3 linked regions of the Cricetulus griseus genome follow. The protein of the gene in region 3 purifies or fractionates together with the protein of the main gene of each other region. This does not show direct contact. Links are inferred from orthologs where the notes say so. Each region holds a gene or a part of one and is shown on either strand. Other genes may lie near its edges.

Region 1 (3,974 bases), on a different chromosome or scaffold from region 3:
CTGCACTGTGTGGCCATTCCTTTTAAGTGTTGTAAATTTTTTTTTTTTTTTTTTTAAATGAAGGCCAACAAACACCCCTGCTGGGCAGATTTGGCCCTGCTACTTTGCTAGCACTCTCCAACCAGCCATCCCTCCCTCTGACTAAAAAAACTAGTTTTCTCTATTTGGAGCAACTTAGGACAAGCCAGGTAACCTTGCATTCATGCTCCTAAATTTGCTCCGCGAACCTGGCCGGGCCGGTGCAGAGATCTTGCTCTGCTCCTCTCCTCCCCGAATTCAAACGCAGCGAGAGGGGGGAGAGAGCTGATGCTTTTCTTTTTTTCTTTTCTTTTTTGGGTTTTTCGAGACAGGGTTTCTCTGTGGCTTTGGAGACTGTCCTGGAACTATCTCTTGTAGACTAGGCTGATCTCAAACTCACAGAGATCTGCCTGCCTCTGCCTCCCGAGTTCTAGGATCACCTTGTGTAGGAATCACCTGACAGTCTTGTTTGACCTGCAGGTCAGACCTGGGCGGTTTCTTTCCTTCGAGGGTAGGGGGGAAGGAATGTTGCCTGGTAGCTGAGGCTGGCCTTAGGCTAACTTGCAATCTTGAACCCACGCTCCTTCTTAAGGAGTTCCTGGGTGTTGCAGATACTGCTGACCCCTGGGTTTTACTGGAGAAGTCTAGAGCTCCTTTCAATTCGGGCTCCGGGAGTGGTTGCCACAGAGCTTCCTTTTGCCTGCCAGACATGCTGGGTTTGTTCAGGTTTGGGTTTATATAGACTAGCCAGGGAGACGGCAGTCGAGGGCGAAGGCGGTGCACTGCCAAGCTACCTCTAGGCCTGGAGTTTCAGATCTAGAAGGCCAGGAGGAGTGGAGGAAGGTGTTAGTTAGGTCCTAACTGGAGAAGCCTCTGGAGGAGGGGCATGAACCACAGGAGCATTCTCTGGCCGAGGAGCAGAAAGCCGGACCGAATTCTGTCCCCTGGGTATTTCCGCGTATTCCATCCGCTCCTAGTTTCCCAGGGTATCCCACGTGCATTTAATCCTTAAGTCCCAGCCCATCAAGTTTCTCCTCACAAGATCGGGGGTTTAAAAGCGGCTGCGCCGTAGAGCACTCCCATGGTGCCGCGCGCTGGGCGGGTTTGTATTTTAAATCCCCGCGGCCAATCAACAACGCGCAGGTCCTTGTAACGTTCCCAGCGCTGCGTTTGAATTCGGGGAGGAGCGGAGCAGGGCAAGATCTCTGCACCGGCCCGGCCAGGTTCGCGTAGCAAATTTAGGAGCATGAATGCAGCGGCCAAAAAGCTGGCTCGAGCACCAGCCGATCTCGGGAAAGCTGGGGTTCCTGGAGATGCAGCTACCGGTGCCCCAGTGACCGCCCCGCTGTCGAAAGAGATTCCTGAGGTCTTAGTGGACCCACGCAGCCGGCGCCAGTATGTGCGGGGCCGCTTTCTGGGTAAAGGAGGATTTGCCAAATGCTTCGAGATCTCGGATGCAGACACAAAGGAGGTGTTCGCAGGCAAGATCGTGCCGAAGTCTTTACTTCTCAAGCCCCACCAAAAGGAAAAGATGTCTATGGAGATTTCTATCCACCGCAGCCTCGCACACCAACACGTCGTAGGCTTCCACGGCTTTTTTGAGGACAGCGACTTTGTGTTTGTGGTTTTGGAGCTCTGTCGCAGGAGGGTGAGTGTTTCTGCTGTGGTGTTGGGGCGACCACACCGGGAACTTGCTGGCAAAGAGGCATCGACGCCTTGGAGTGGCCTAGAGGAGTGCTTGGGTTTCAAGCAATTATGAAGGGGCTCCTGGTGAGGGTGTTTGGCATTCCGAGCTGCTGAGGCCGGGGGTTGAGGGCAAGCGGAACCCGGGACCTGTTGCTATTATTAGGGAAGGTGGCTCCTGCACGCAAGACTGCCAGTAGGTGCAGGAAATGGGTGTTTAAAGTGATTAACAAGGGTCCCAAGCTACGGCTGCCGCGGACCTAGAACTTCCGGAGTGGAGTGGGGCAGGGTCTGGAGTGGGGGAGGGAGGAGAGGCTGTCTGGAGTCAGACCTCAGCTTTCAGGAAAAGGAGAGGGTCTCCTGCTGGGAGGAAGCCCCTAAATAAGGGGTTGAGAGAAGACGCTGGGTAAGGGTACTCGTTAACAGGAGAGGGGTCCTGTGAATGATAATGGCCTGACCAGTGTATGGACAGAACCATTAGGAGCCTGCCAAGACATAAGAATTATGGGTTAATAAGTGGAAGAGTTAGCTAAGCCTGTACTATAGGCCGAGCATTTATAATTAATATAAGCCTCAGAGTAGTTATTTGGAATCGGCTGGTCGGGATAGGAAACTTCCGTCTATACTTTACTCCCGAGGGTTTAATCTTGGCCACATCCAGCTGGCCACCCTTTTCCTTGGGCTTAACTACCTTCTTCCCTCTTCCTCAGTCTCTCCTGGAACTGCACAAGAGGAGGAAAGCGCTGACCGAGCCCGAGGCACGCTACTATCTACGTCAGATAGTCCTGGGCTGCCAGTATCTGCACCGAAATCAGGTCATTCACAGGGACCTCAAGCTAGGCAACCTCTTCCTGAACGAGGATCTGGAGGTGAAAATAGGTGAGGTGCTGGGCCTGCGGGTGTCTGGTGCCAGTACAAGAGGTGGCAAGGAGGGGAACTCTGGGAGAATGGGAGCCAGAGAAGTGGAAGGTGGGTGGGAAATGGAGGTGCTGCCCTCCAGAAAGCCTTCTTGTCCAGAAATGGAAAGTAAGTGTCCCACAGGCCAGTGTTTTGCTGTCCCTTTACTGAGCTGAAAAGCACCTTTTCCCTTGAGACTCTGATTTGCCTCAGTCCCTATACTCCTGTCACTTTTCTTAAACTTGTCACAGTCACAAAGAATATTTACTTGATTCCCTAGTGCATCCAATTCTGCTATCCTATGTATTTTAAATTTCATATATGTGGGGTTCGAGATAGAAGGTAACTTTCTGGAGTCAGTTCTGTTCTTCCATTGTGGGTTCCAGGGTCAACTCAAGTTGTTAGTCTTAGCGGCAAGCACCTGTACCTACTGAGCCATCTTACTTCCCTAGCCCTGCTATCTAAAGAGGAGTGTAAAGGGCAGTGGGAAGGTTCGGGAACAGAGACTGGAGTCTTGAGGCACTGGCTCTCTATGGTCAGTCCTGAGGCAGTTGTCTGCAGCCACAAGATGGCCTAGCAGCTAATCACCTCTCTTCTTCCCTCTGTCCCAGGGGACTTTGGGCTGGCAACCAAAGTGGAATATGAAGGTGAACGAAAGAAGACCTTATGTGGCACTCCTAACTACATAGCTCCCGAGGTGCTGAGCAAGAAGGGACACAGTTTTGAGGTGGATGTGTGGTCCATTGGGTGTATCATGTAAGTTGGGAATGGACTCAGGAGCTATTGGGTCTCAACAGGATTTTCTGAGGCATTTCATCCAGTTGACCTTTCCCTCTGGATCCCACATGAAGCCCCTTTTCCTTATTTATCAATCTATAGCATTCCTGTAGCTTGGACTTATGGTCCAGGGAAGGGACCAAATGTGTCTACACTTCTTCCTCCAGCTCCTTGCTGCTTACTAAAAGCATGCACTAACCCAAACCATCAATACCTCTGAGGGTTTGTTAGGATGTGGAAATCTCAGTTCTGGACCTGGGTCTAATAAAATCCCTGGCTGACTTTCAGTAAAGCTTTGGAAACACTGATGAGTGCTGATGGGAGAATCAGATCAGCAGAAAGGTTCATGGTAGGCAGAAGCTCCATCATGGTGCTTGTGCCTGTGGCAGATAGCAGTGGCCTCTGCGGTTCTTGAGGAGTCCTCTATTACTGCAGGCCAGAGCTGGGGAATCTCTAGCGCTTGGTATTCAGTGTTGTCACCTGCATTCTTCTGAGGGCTTATCCCAGCCATTGGCTTCTATGAGACTGAGCAGACTTGGAGATCAGCCTCATCCGTTCTGAGTCAGTGAATCCAGCCCAGCTCCCTTCCTCTAGACAAT
Region 2 (4,285 bases), on a different chromosome or scaffold from region 3:
AGGCAGATCCCTGTGATTTTGAGACCAGTCTGGTCTACAACACAGGAGGCCGGCCAGGGCTGCATAGTGAGACCCTGTCACAACCAAACCTAAAATGATACCACCAAAACAAATAAGAAATGCAAACATCTCAACAGATTATGCTCCTCTCAGTTTTACTTGGAAGGATTTAAGCTCTCCAGTCCATGAACATGAAACGCAACTGAAGACGCCGGCTTCAGTTACCAACTTGGGCAAATAATCTGATAATTACCAGTACGTGTGCGGTTAGAGTTTGGCTATCGGAATCTGGGAACAGCGGGAGGGGAGGACTGGGGGTTACAGACAGGGGTTACAGTGTTTGCTAAGCCTGCCAGACGCCCTAGGCTCAGTAACAACAGCAGCAGCAGCAGCAGCAGCAGCAGCAGCAGCAGGACCCTCCAGGCCACACACAGCACGGCACTGTCGGGAGACCTCAACAGTTACCACTCATCGAGCTCTTGCTACCGCCGGGTACGACGACCCCGAGCACCCGATCGGCATTAATCTCGACACGCAGGCATCCAGAGACTCGTGCACTTCACGTTAGAAATAAGCGTGTACAAGCCTAACCCTTGCATGAGACACTGGGACTCGACAGAGAGTGACACGAGTTCCAGAAAGTTTCCAGGGCACCCGGTCAGGCTACAGCCGGCCCCCAAGGGTGAGGGCCGGTCCGCGCAGCCTCCGCTCCCGCCAGGGACGCCCGGGGCTGGGTCTCGAGGTGTAAAGGGGGGTGGGGGGGGCGGCGGCCGAGCCTTCACCCGAGTCCCCGGGAGGAAGCACGGGCGGGCGGGAGGAGCCCGGCCCGGGGCTGCAGGGGGCCCACCCCGCTCGGGCGGAGGGGAAAGCAGGGAGCCGCCGGGACCCAGGCCCGAGGCTCGCTCGCTCGCTCGCTGGCTCGGGGTGCAGGCCGGGCCGCTCGGCTCCGGGGCGTCCGGCCTCCCGCCACCCTCTCCGCTGGCTCCGGGCCCTCTCCACGCCAGCCCCCGGCGCCCGCACCAGCCCGTCTCCCTGCGCCTGCCACCCGAGCCCGTTCCGTACCCCCGGATCAGGGTCCCGGTCTCCCGCTCTCTTCTGGAAAGATGGAGGCGCGAATCGTGCCCGATCGATCGCTCCGAGCGCACGCCCACTGCGCACGCGCCAAGGGCAGGCAGCCGAGCGCCGAGCACCCTCCCGCTCACTCGGCCAGCCTGCCCTTCTCGCCATCTTACTCACTGGCACGTTCGAGACGCTCACTCACCTCCTCCGAGCTGATCACCTTCGCGGCAACCCTGAACCCGAAGGGCTGCTGTGTGACCGGCAAACGCCCGATCCTGGGGAGCACGGCGAACGACAGAACGGCCACAGATCGGACAGGCCGTTGGCGCACCACTTCCGGGCGCTGACGGCTCAGTGCGCCTGCGCCCCGGCTACGGCCCGGAACGAGCTTCCCGTCGTCGCGTTCACGGCGGGCCAATCACAGGACGGCGCCGCTTCGCCTCCAGCCAATCAGCTTCCGGAGGAGAGGGTTTAACTCCTGTTTCAAAGGAGAACCTTTGAATTGTAACGGCTGAGCTCCTGGAATCGCTTGGAGTCTTCGCTGGAGACGCGATCCTGCCCCGGGGTAGGAAGGGGACCCGGCGGGCCAGGGAGAGCCTGGGCGCTGCAGAGCGACGCGGGGCGGAGAGGGGCCCGGGGGTGGCGGGCTGTCTCTCGGGGCTCGCATCGGTGCAGCGGAGATCCAGGTGGCCTCGTCCCTCCTTGGGTTTAGGTTCTGGTGGGAATGGGACCCGGACCACCGGCCATACCGGGTGATTTGCAAACCGATGGCGGTGGTATGGACGAAGCAACTGCGGCTCAGTGGGGACCAGGCGGGGGTCCCCTTGTAGAGACGCCCGGGGTCGTGCTGCCCCCTCACCGCAGCCTTTTGAGCAGTCGGTGTCGGTGTAGACCCGCGGAAGCTCAGCTTGTAGAATATTCCGGAAGCCCCGGGCTCGGCCCCCAGCACTGCCTAAACCATCATGGTAGCCCCCGCCTTTAATTCCGATGGTGAGGAGGTGGAGGCAGGCGGATCACAAGTTACATGGCAGATCGGAAGCCAGCCTGAACTGTGACCCTGACTCAACAAAAAAAAACAAAAATAAGTCATCTCCCCATCCCCACACCCAGCGTGGTTGCTCACATCAGCAGTCTGAGGCAGGAGGGTAGCCTTGAGTTTGAAGCTAGCTTCCGATACAATGTGAGAGCCCTTCCCAAAAGTGAGGCCTATCTGGGAATGTAGTTCTTGTGTACCACGCCCTGGATTCAAATCCTAGCACTGCATACACTGGGCACGGTGACCATGTTTGTAATTCCCATTGGGGAAGTGGAGGCAGGAAGATCAGAAGTTCAAAGTGATCCTCCATTATAGCATGTTCAAAGCCAGCCTGGGCTACATGAAACACTGTCTCAAAAACAAATACAAGACTGATATGGTCCCAAATTCCTTTAATCCCATCACTTGGGAGCAGGTAGAAGGACTTCTGAGTTCCAGACTACCTAGGAGGGCTACACAGAGGTACCCCATCTCAAACCAAACAAACAAAATCCTGGCTCCACTGCAAATGTAGGAAATAGAAATATCTTAGGGATAGGATCCTGGTATAGCTAATCATGGGAAAGCTAAAATGCAGGTCATTTAGCCAAGCTGGCATCTGGTCCCAGGGCTCCGTTTCCTACAGGCTTCCTACAGGTGAGGTGGGTACAGCCCCAGTCCTTCACTTAATGCCTCCATCTCCTGCCTAGCCTCCCCCATCTTTGCAGTAGGGGCTTTTCAATAACACGCAGGTGTTTGTCCTGACTGCAAGCAGGTGTTTGTCCTGACTGCAACCCGTATCTGAAAAGGGAAGCCCAAGGCTGATTCCTGCTGTGTCAGGAGAACTTTTCTTACATGGAGTTGTAAATCTTGGCTGAATGGGATCTGTGAAGGTCATCTGATGTAGATGAGAAGGCGAAGGACTGGGATTAGGGGAAAAAATGAGGCCAAGCCAGGAGGGTAGGAAGTGACAGCTTGCAAGGTAATAGATAAACTGGGAAATGGGCAAATGTGATTGGCTGAAACCTGTTCCCCAGGAATCAAGTTAGTGCTGGGTTTGCCACCGTAGGGGAAGCTGAGAGACTGGCAATACCGTGGGATTCAAAAGGCCCAATGGGAATGGCTTGGGAAAAGAGTAGGTGAGCTTTGTTGTTCAAGGGTTATGGGAGATGGGACCATGGCCTGGGGTAGCTGTGCAGCAAATGGGTAACCCAAGCAGGCTGTATATGCTGGGCATCATGTTTTAGAGCAGAAAGAACAAGCCCAGGAGGGAAGAGAATGAGAGGATGTGAGGAGCTGGGTGCAGGATTGTCAGTGGGAAGTGTGAGGTTGCAGGTCACAGAGGCCTGTCTGTCAGAGGCAGTGACTGCGGAGCACAGCAGTACGTGGCTTCCTGTCAATGAAAGGCTCTTGTTTCTCTCTTCAGGTGACATGGACAGATGTAAAGAAAACTGTGTTTCCAGGCCTGTTAAGGTAAAAAGAATTACCTGTAATCACAATTGAATTTTGAAAAGTTGTTTTGAAATGAAATGCATTTTGTTTGTGTGCACCCATTGTTGTAATTTAAGAAAAGCAGCCTTCAAGAAAGATGGCATGAGACAGGGTTCAAGCAGAGAAGGGCTTTTTATTAGGGAAAGAGATCATAAATAGGGGAGGGGGAGACAGGAGCACCAGCAGAGAGAGAGGGAGGGAAAGAAAGAAAGAAGGGTGGGAGCTGACAGCAGCTGAGGGCGTATCCTGTCAGAACAGGCCAAGGATAGATGCCTAAATACTAATATTCCTCCCTCTTATTATAAAAAGATGAGTCATTAGAAAGGGGTAGCAGGTGAGGTGGGGATGAGACCATTGTGTTTTCAAGACTACTTCCTGCTGACCTGGGGGGCATCGTTCATCTTTGGGGGACCTAGGAAAGCTGGGGTGCTAGCCATGTCCTGGAGTAGCTGGCTGTTTCACTTCACTGTCCAGGCTCTGTGGAACCATCAAGGTGCCTCCTGAACCTGGCAAAATGCCGTTCTTGGTGAATCCAAATCAACACCCTAGGGCGTAAAGCGCCTGGTCCTTTCCCGTCACCACAGCATCACTGGGCATGTTTGGTAGTCTTGTGCCTCCAGCTCTACGGCCAACACCTGGTAGTACTGCAACAGTAGCCGATTAGGAATGGTCCGTGGGTCTCCAAAAACATCTCAATAGGAGCAAGGAGGCATAGATGGT
Region 3 (3,500 bases):
GAGCTTTGAGAGTTTGCTCTTTTTGAACAAGTGTTTGTATTCACTCTGTGGCAGGTGCTGGCAGGAGAAATGGAGAGAAGAGATTGATACTTTTATTTTTTTAAGCATTGCCAAGGGCTTAGCACTGATGAGGCTTGGTGGCTAGAAATGAGGGTGCCAGGATTCTTGGGTTCCCAGAGGGGCTTTCTTCTTTGATGGGTAAGAGATTACAAATATAAGGCAAGTTCTGGAGTAATCATCCCAGATCCAATGACCTTACAACCAAAGGAACTTTCAGCTTTTTCTTCATACTAATTAATAATGGTATCTCAGTGTCCCAAAGAGTTCAGATAAAAGAGGGCACACCCAAATCACTGTTTTCATTAAGTGCTGGACTGGATCTCGAGGCCCACCAGAATAGCTGACATAGGAACTTCTCCTCGGTCACTTCACTTGCTTCCCTAAGGCCCATCTTTCCACTCAGTGTCACTTGACAAAATCCATATGGCCTTCTGAGCTCAGCCCTTCTTTGCACCTGGTCAGCCCAAGTCTGGATGGCTGGTGTGACTGCACATTTGGCACCTTAGCACTCATAGGTCCCTGTGCTCTGTTCTTCCTTTGGGAGGAGACAGGTCCATTCTGTTCAGCTGTGTTTGTTTACCAACAGACTTCAATCCCCGACTCGGAAAGCAATCTGGATCAGAACTGTTTGTCTCGCTGCAGCACAGAGATTTTCTCTGAAGCCAGCTGGGAGCAGGTGGATAAACAGGACACAGAGGTACAGGCTCAGCCCCTGCTCTGCGTGCCATCCATGCAGGTGTCCTACAGTTCTTCTCCACTCCAGTCCCTGCCCCATGCCCCTCACCAAGGAAGAAAGTCACATTAGAATTGAGCCTCTGTATCTCAGTGTCTGGGAACCCATATCCATCAATTCTAAGCCAGGGACACTCAGTGAGCTGGCCCTCTCTCTCCATTGCCTCTGCCAGCTCTTATGGCAGCCCAGGGGGCCACTGCTACCACGTTGCCTCAGGGAAAATGAGAGTCCCCTCCAGGCAAATAATTTGGACACCTTCCTTGAACTGTTGTCAGCAGGTCTGCTGCACTGATACCACTGGAGCCCATGTAGTCCTTGTGACTCATGCTCCCCCTGGTGTGACTCTGTTGACTTCAGATGACTGGCCCATGTCTGTCACTAACCTGGTCCCATGTGTTTTACAGATGACCCGTTGGCTACCTGACCACTTGGCTGCCCACTGTTATGCCTGTGACAGTGCCTTCTGGCTGGCCAGCAGGAAGCACCACTGCAGGTGCCATTGGGGTGACTTTTAGGGTGGGATGGGTTATGGAGTCTGAACTTTGACATCTTACCAGCAAGTGTTCTGTTGAGCTGCCCTTGAGGTCACATTTCTGTGCCTCTGAAATTGGTCCTTCTAGAACTGCATTTGGGAACTCTGTTCCAATTCAATGATCACTATTAAATTTTGAAACTCGGACACACTTTGTTTCGTTTCCCAGATTGGCAAGGTAACAACTACCGTGCAGATCATCATTTCTTGTTTCCAACATACAATTGATCATGGCTACTTTGAGCAAAAACAGCTTTCTAGATGTGGGCAGGGAGCCTAGTTTTCCTACTTCTTTCTGCTCCCTGATCCCAATGCTACTGCTGAGCAGCTGTATCTAGGGAATAGTAGACACAGCTGAGGGCAGTCTCCAATCCTTGCTGCTCCCAACTTCTTTCTCCTAGGTTGAGCAGTGAGTTACTAAGGCTACTTTGCTCTGGCAAGGGTGGCAACTGTCTGGTAGATGTTTAATGTTCTTAGGATAGGAAGTTTATCAGAATCGTGTAGTGGCCACATGAAGAAGTGAGCCTGGATTGAAAGTGATGGAAAAACTTCTTTGTAGACAGATAACACTCTTAGGACCATGGGTCTCCCCCACCCTGCATCCCTAGACCAAAAGGCTTTTCCTCTGAGTTCTTTCTCCCCTCCTTTCAGGGACACTGACCGTGTTGATCAAACGTGGTGAGCATTTGCAACAACTTGTCTGTGATGTCTGCACACCCACAATAACTTCTCCACACTAATGCTGCCATTCCCTTCTTTGCACTCATTGGGCTGAAGTCTCATAAGGGAGAACACAGGCAGGCAGGTGGGCATGGGGATCCATAGCAGCTGATGAAAGAGACTGCCAGGGGTGTGTCTGCTGCAGCCTTGTGCTCCCCTCTGGACTGTGCAGGCCAGCTGGGCTGTTACACTCTTGATGAGAAGTGGTACTTCTGCAAGGCTGATCTTTCGGGGGAAGCCAGTGGGCTTCGGGACGTTTTTGGTGGGGAGAGGAGACAATCATTCCTTGATGCCAGGATGATACCGGTAACTTTCAAGTCAAATGGCATTGCTTCCTTGTTTTGTTTTTATAGACAGAAATGAACAGATACCATCTTTCCAGAGAATTCATTAGCATGGAAGACTCCACTTAGGTCTTTCAGGGTCTCCCAAAGGAAGTCAGATAAAAAAGCTTAATTGATCAGATTTGTGTCAGGCTTGTTAAAAAAGCTGAACTTCAGCAGTATGTCAAACAAGTACAGACATTGAGAAGATTTCCTGTTCTGTTTTCAAGCATCACAAGTTATTGGTGATTCATGCTTCTTAGAAAGTTGTAAAGTGCTTTTTACATTCTAGAAACAAAGAGCTTTGTGTTCTGGTTCCTTGTCCTATTGCCCTGTGTCCCACCTTCCCTTCTACAGTGTTGCTTTGTCTCATGTGGTCGTTAGTGTCCACTGCTGTGCTCAGGTGGTCCTTATCCCGTGTGGTCTGCATTCTGAGGAGCATGGCTGGGAAGTTAACGTAGAGGAAGCTTTCCTATTAACTTCCTCTTCTCATCTCTGGAGAGCTGTGTCAGGTACCTTGGAGTTTCCTGTGTTTAACTGATCAGTATTGGTTTATACTTTAGGGCTCAGCAAATGTAGGATTGTAAGGTAGGCAGAACTCATCCTGTGTTGTTAGCTTTCCTGTGTGTGTGTGATGGGCATCAGTCCGGGTGTGCAGATCCATGCAGCACAGACGCAAGGAAGTAGGGGTATTGGTGGAAAGGACAGGGGAGCCTGGAGATGCATGGGGCAGAGCAGTGAACCATAGCTGACTGACCACTGTCTAATAGGGATATATATATATATGCATATATTTCTTCATGGTCTGTCCTTCCACCTCCCTTCCACGCTGAGCATGTGTCAAGTAACTGCTTTGGCATTTGGCTTTGCATGCTGCTGGCAGCCGTCTGCATTTAACTTGCCTCTAAGGCAGTGGCCTTCAGACAGGGTTCTTCATCTCCAGGTGGGCAGCATAGTTATTTGTCTTCTTTGAGGGACCCACAGGCTAACTCCTTTTGACTTTGAATTCCCTGTGACCTCAAGCTACCCAGATGGCCAGTACCAAGGTTGGTGCAGCCACTGGGTATGTCCCCAAGTCAGCACTGAGTGCTGAGCTGGCAGCTGCTTCAGTGCTGGACTCATTTAACCACAG

Evidence for each region.
Region 1: the proteins of Mtmr3 (region 3) and Plk1 purify together in Homo sapiens (affinity purification with mass spectrometry; 4 studies listed by BioGRID and IntAct, with this or other methods). This does not show direct contact. The link is inferred for Cricetulus griseus from reciprocal best matches to the Homo sapiens genes MTMR3 and PLK1.
Region 2: the proteins of Mtmr3 (region 3) and Aurka purify together in Homo sapiens (affinity purification with mass spectrometry; 3 studies listed by BioGRID and IntAct, counting the BioPlex papers as one, with this or other methods). This does not show direct contact. The link is inferred for Cricetulus griseus from reciprocal best matches to the Homo sapiens genes MTMR3 and AURKA.

Annotation. Positions count from the first base shown.
Region 1 is NC_048596.1:78,505,948-78,509,921, reverse strand, and holds the start of Plk1 (serine/threonine-protein kinase PLK1), read left to right. Parts: upstream 1-1,174; 5' UTR 1,175-1,264; coding exon 1,265-1,666; intron 1,667-2,411; coding exon 2,412-2,580; intron 2,581-3,209; coding exon 3,210-3,354; intron 3,355-3,974. UniProt on the Homo sapiens protein: Serine/threonine-protein kinase that performs several important functions throughout M phase of the cell cycle, including the regulation of centrosome maturation and spindle assembly, the removal of cohesins from chromosome arms, the inactivation of anaphase-promoting complex/cyclosome (APC/C) inhibitors, and the regulation of mitotic exit and cytokinesis.
Region 2 is NC_048599.1:6,970,856-6,975,140, forward strand, and holds the start of Aurka (aurora kinase A), read left to right. Parts: upstream 1-1,485; 5' UTR 1,486-1,624; intron 1,625-3,500; 5' UTR 3,501-3,505; coding exon 3,506-3,547; intron 3,548-4,285. UniProt on the Homo sapiens protein: Mitotic serine/threonine kinase that contributes to the regulation of cell cycle progression.
Region 3 is NW_023276807.1:100,405,347-100,408,846, forward strand, and holds part of Mtmr3 (myotubularin-related protein 3), read left to right. Parts: intron 1-646; coding exon 647-757; intron 758-1,197; coding exon 1,198-1,286; intron 1,287-1,976; coding exon 1,977-2,003; intron 2,004-2,752; coding exon of another isoform or gene 2,753-2,909; exon of another isoform or gene 2,910-3,500. UniProt on the Homo sapiens protein: Lipid phosphatase that specifically dephosphorylates the D-3 position of phosphatidylinositol 3-phosphate and phosphatidylinositol 3,5-bisphosphate, generating phosphatidylinositol and phosphatidylinositol 5-phosphate.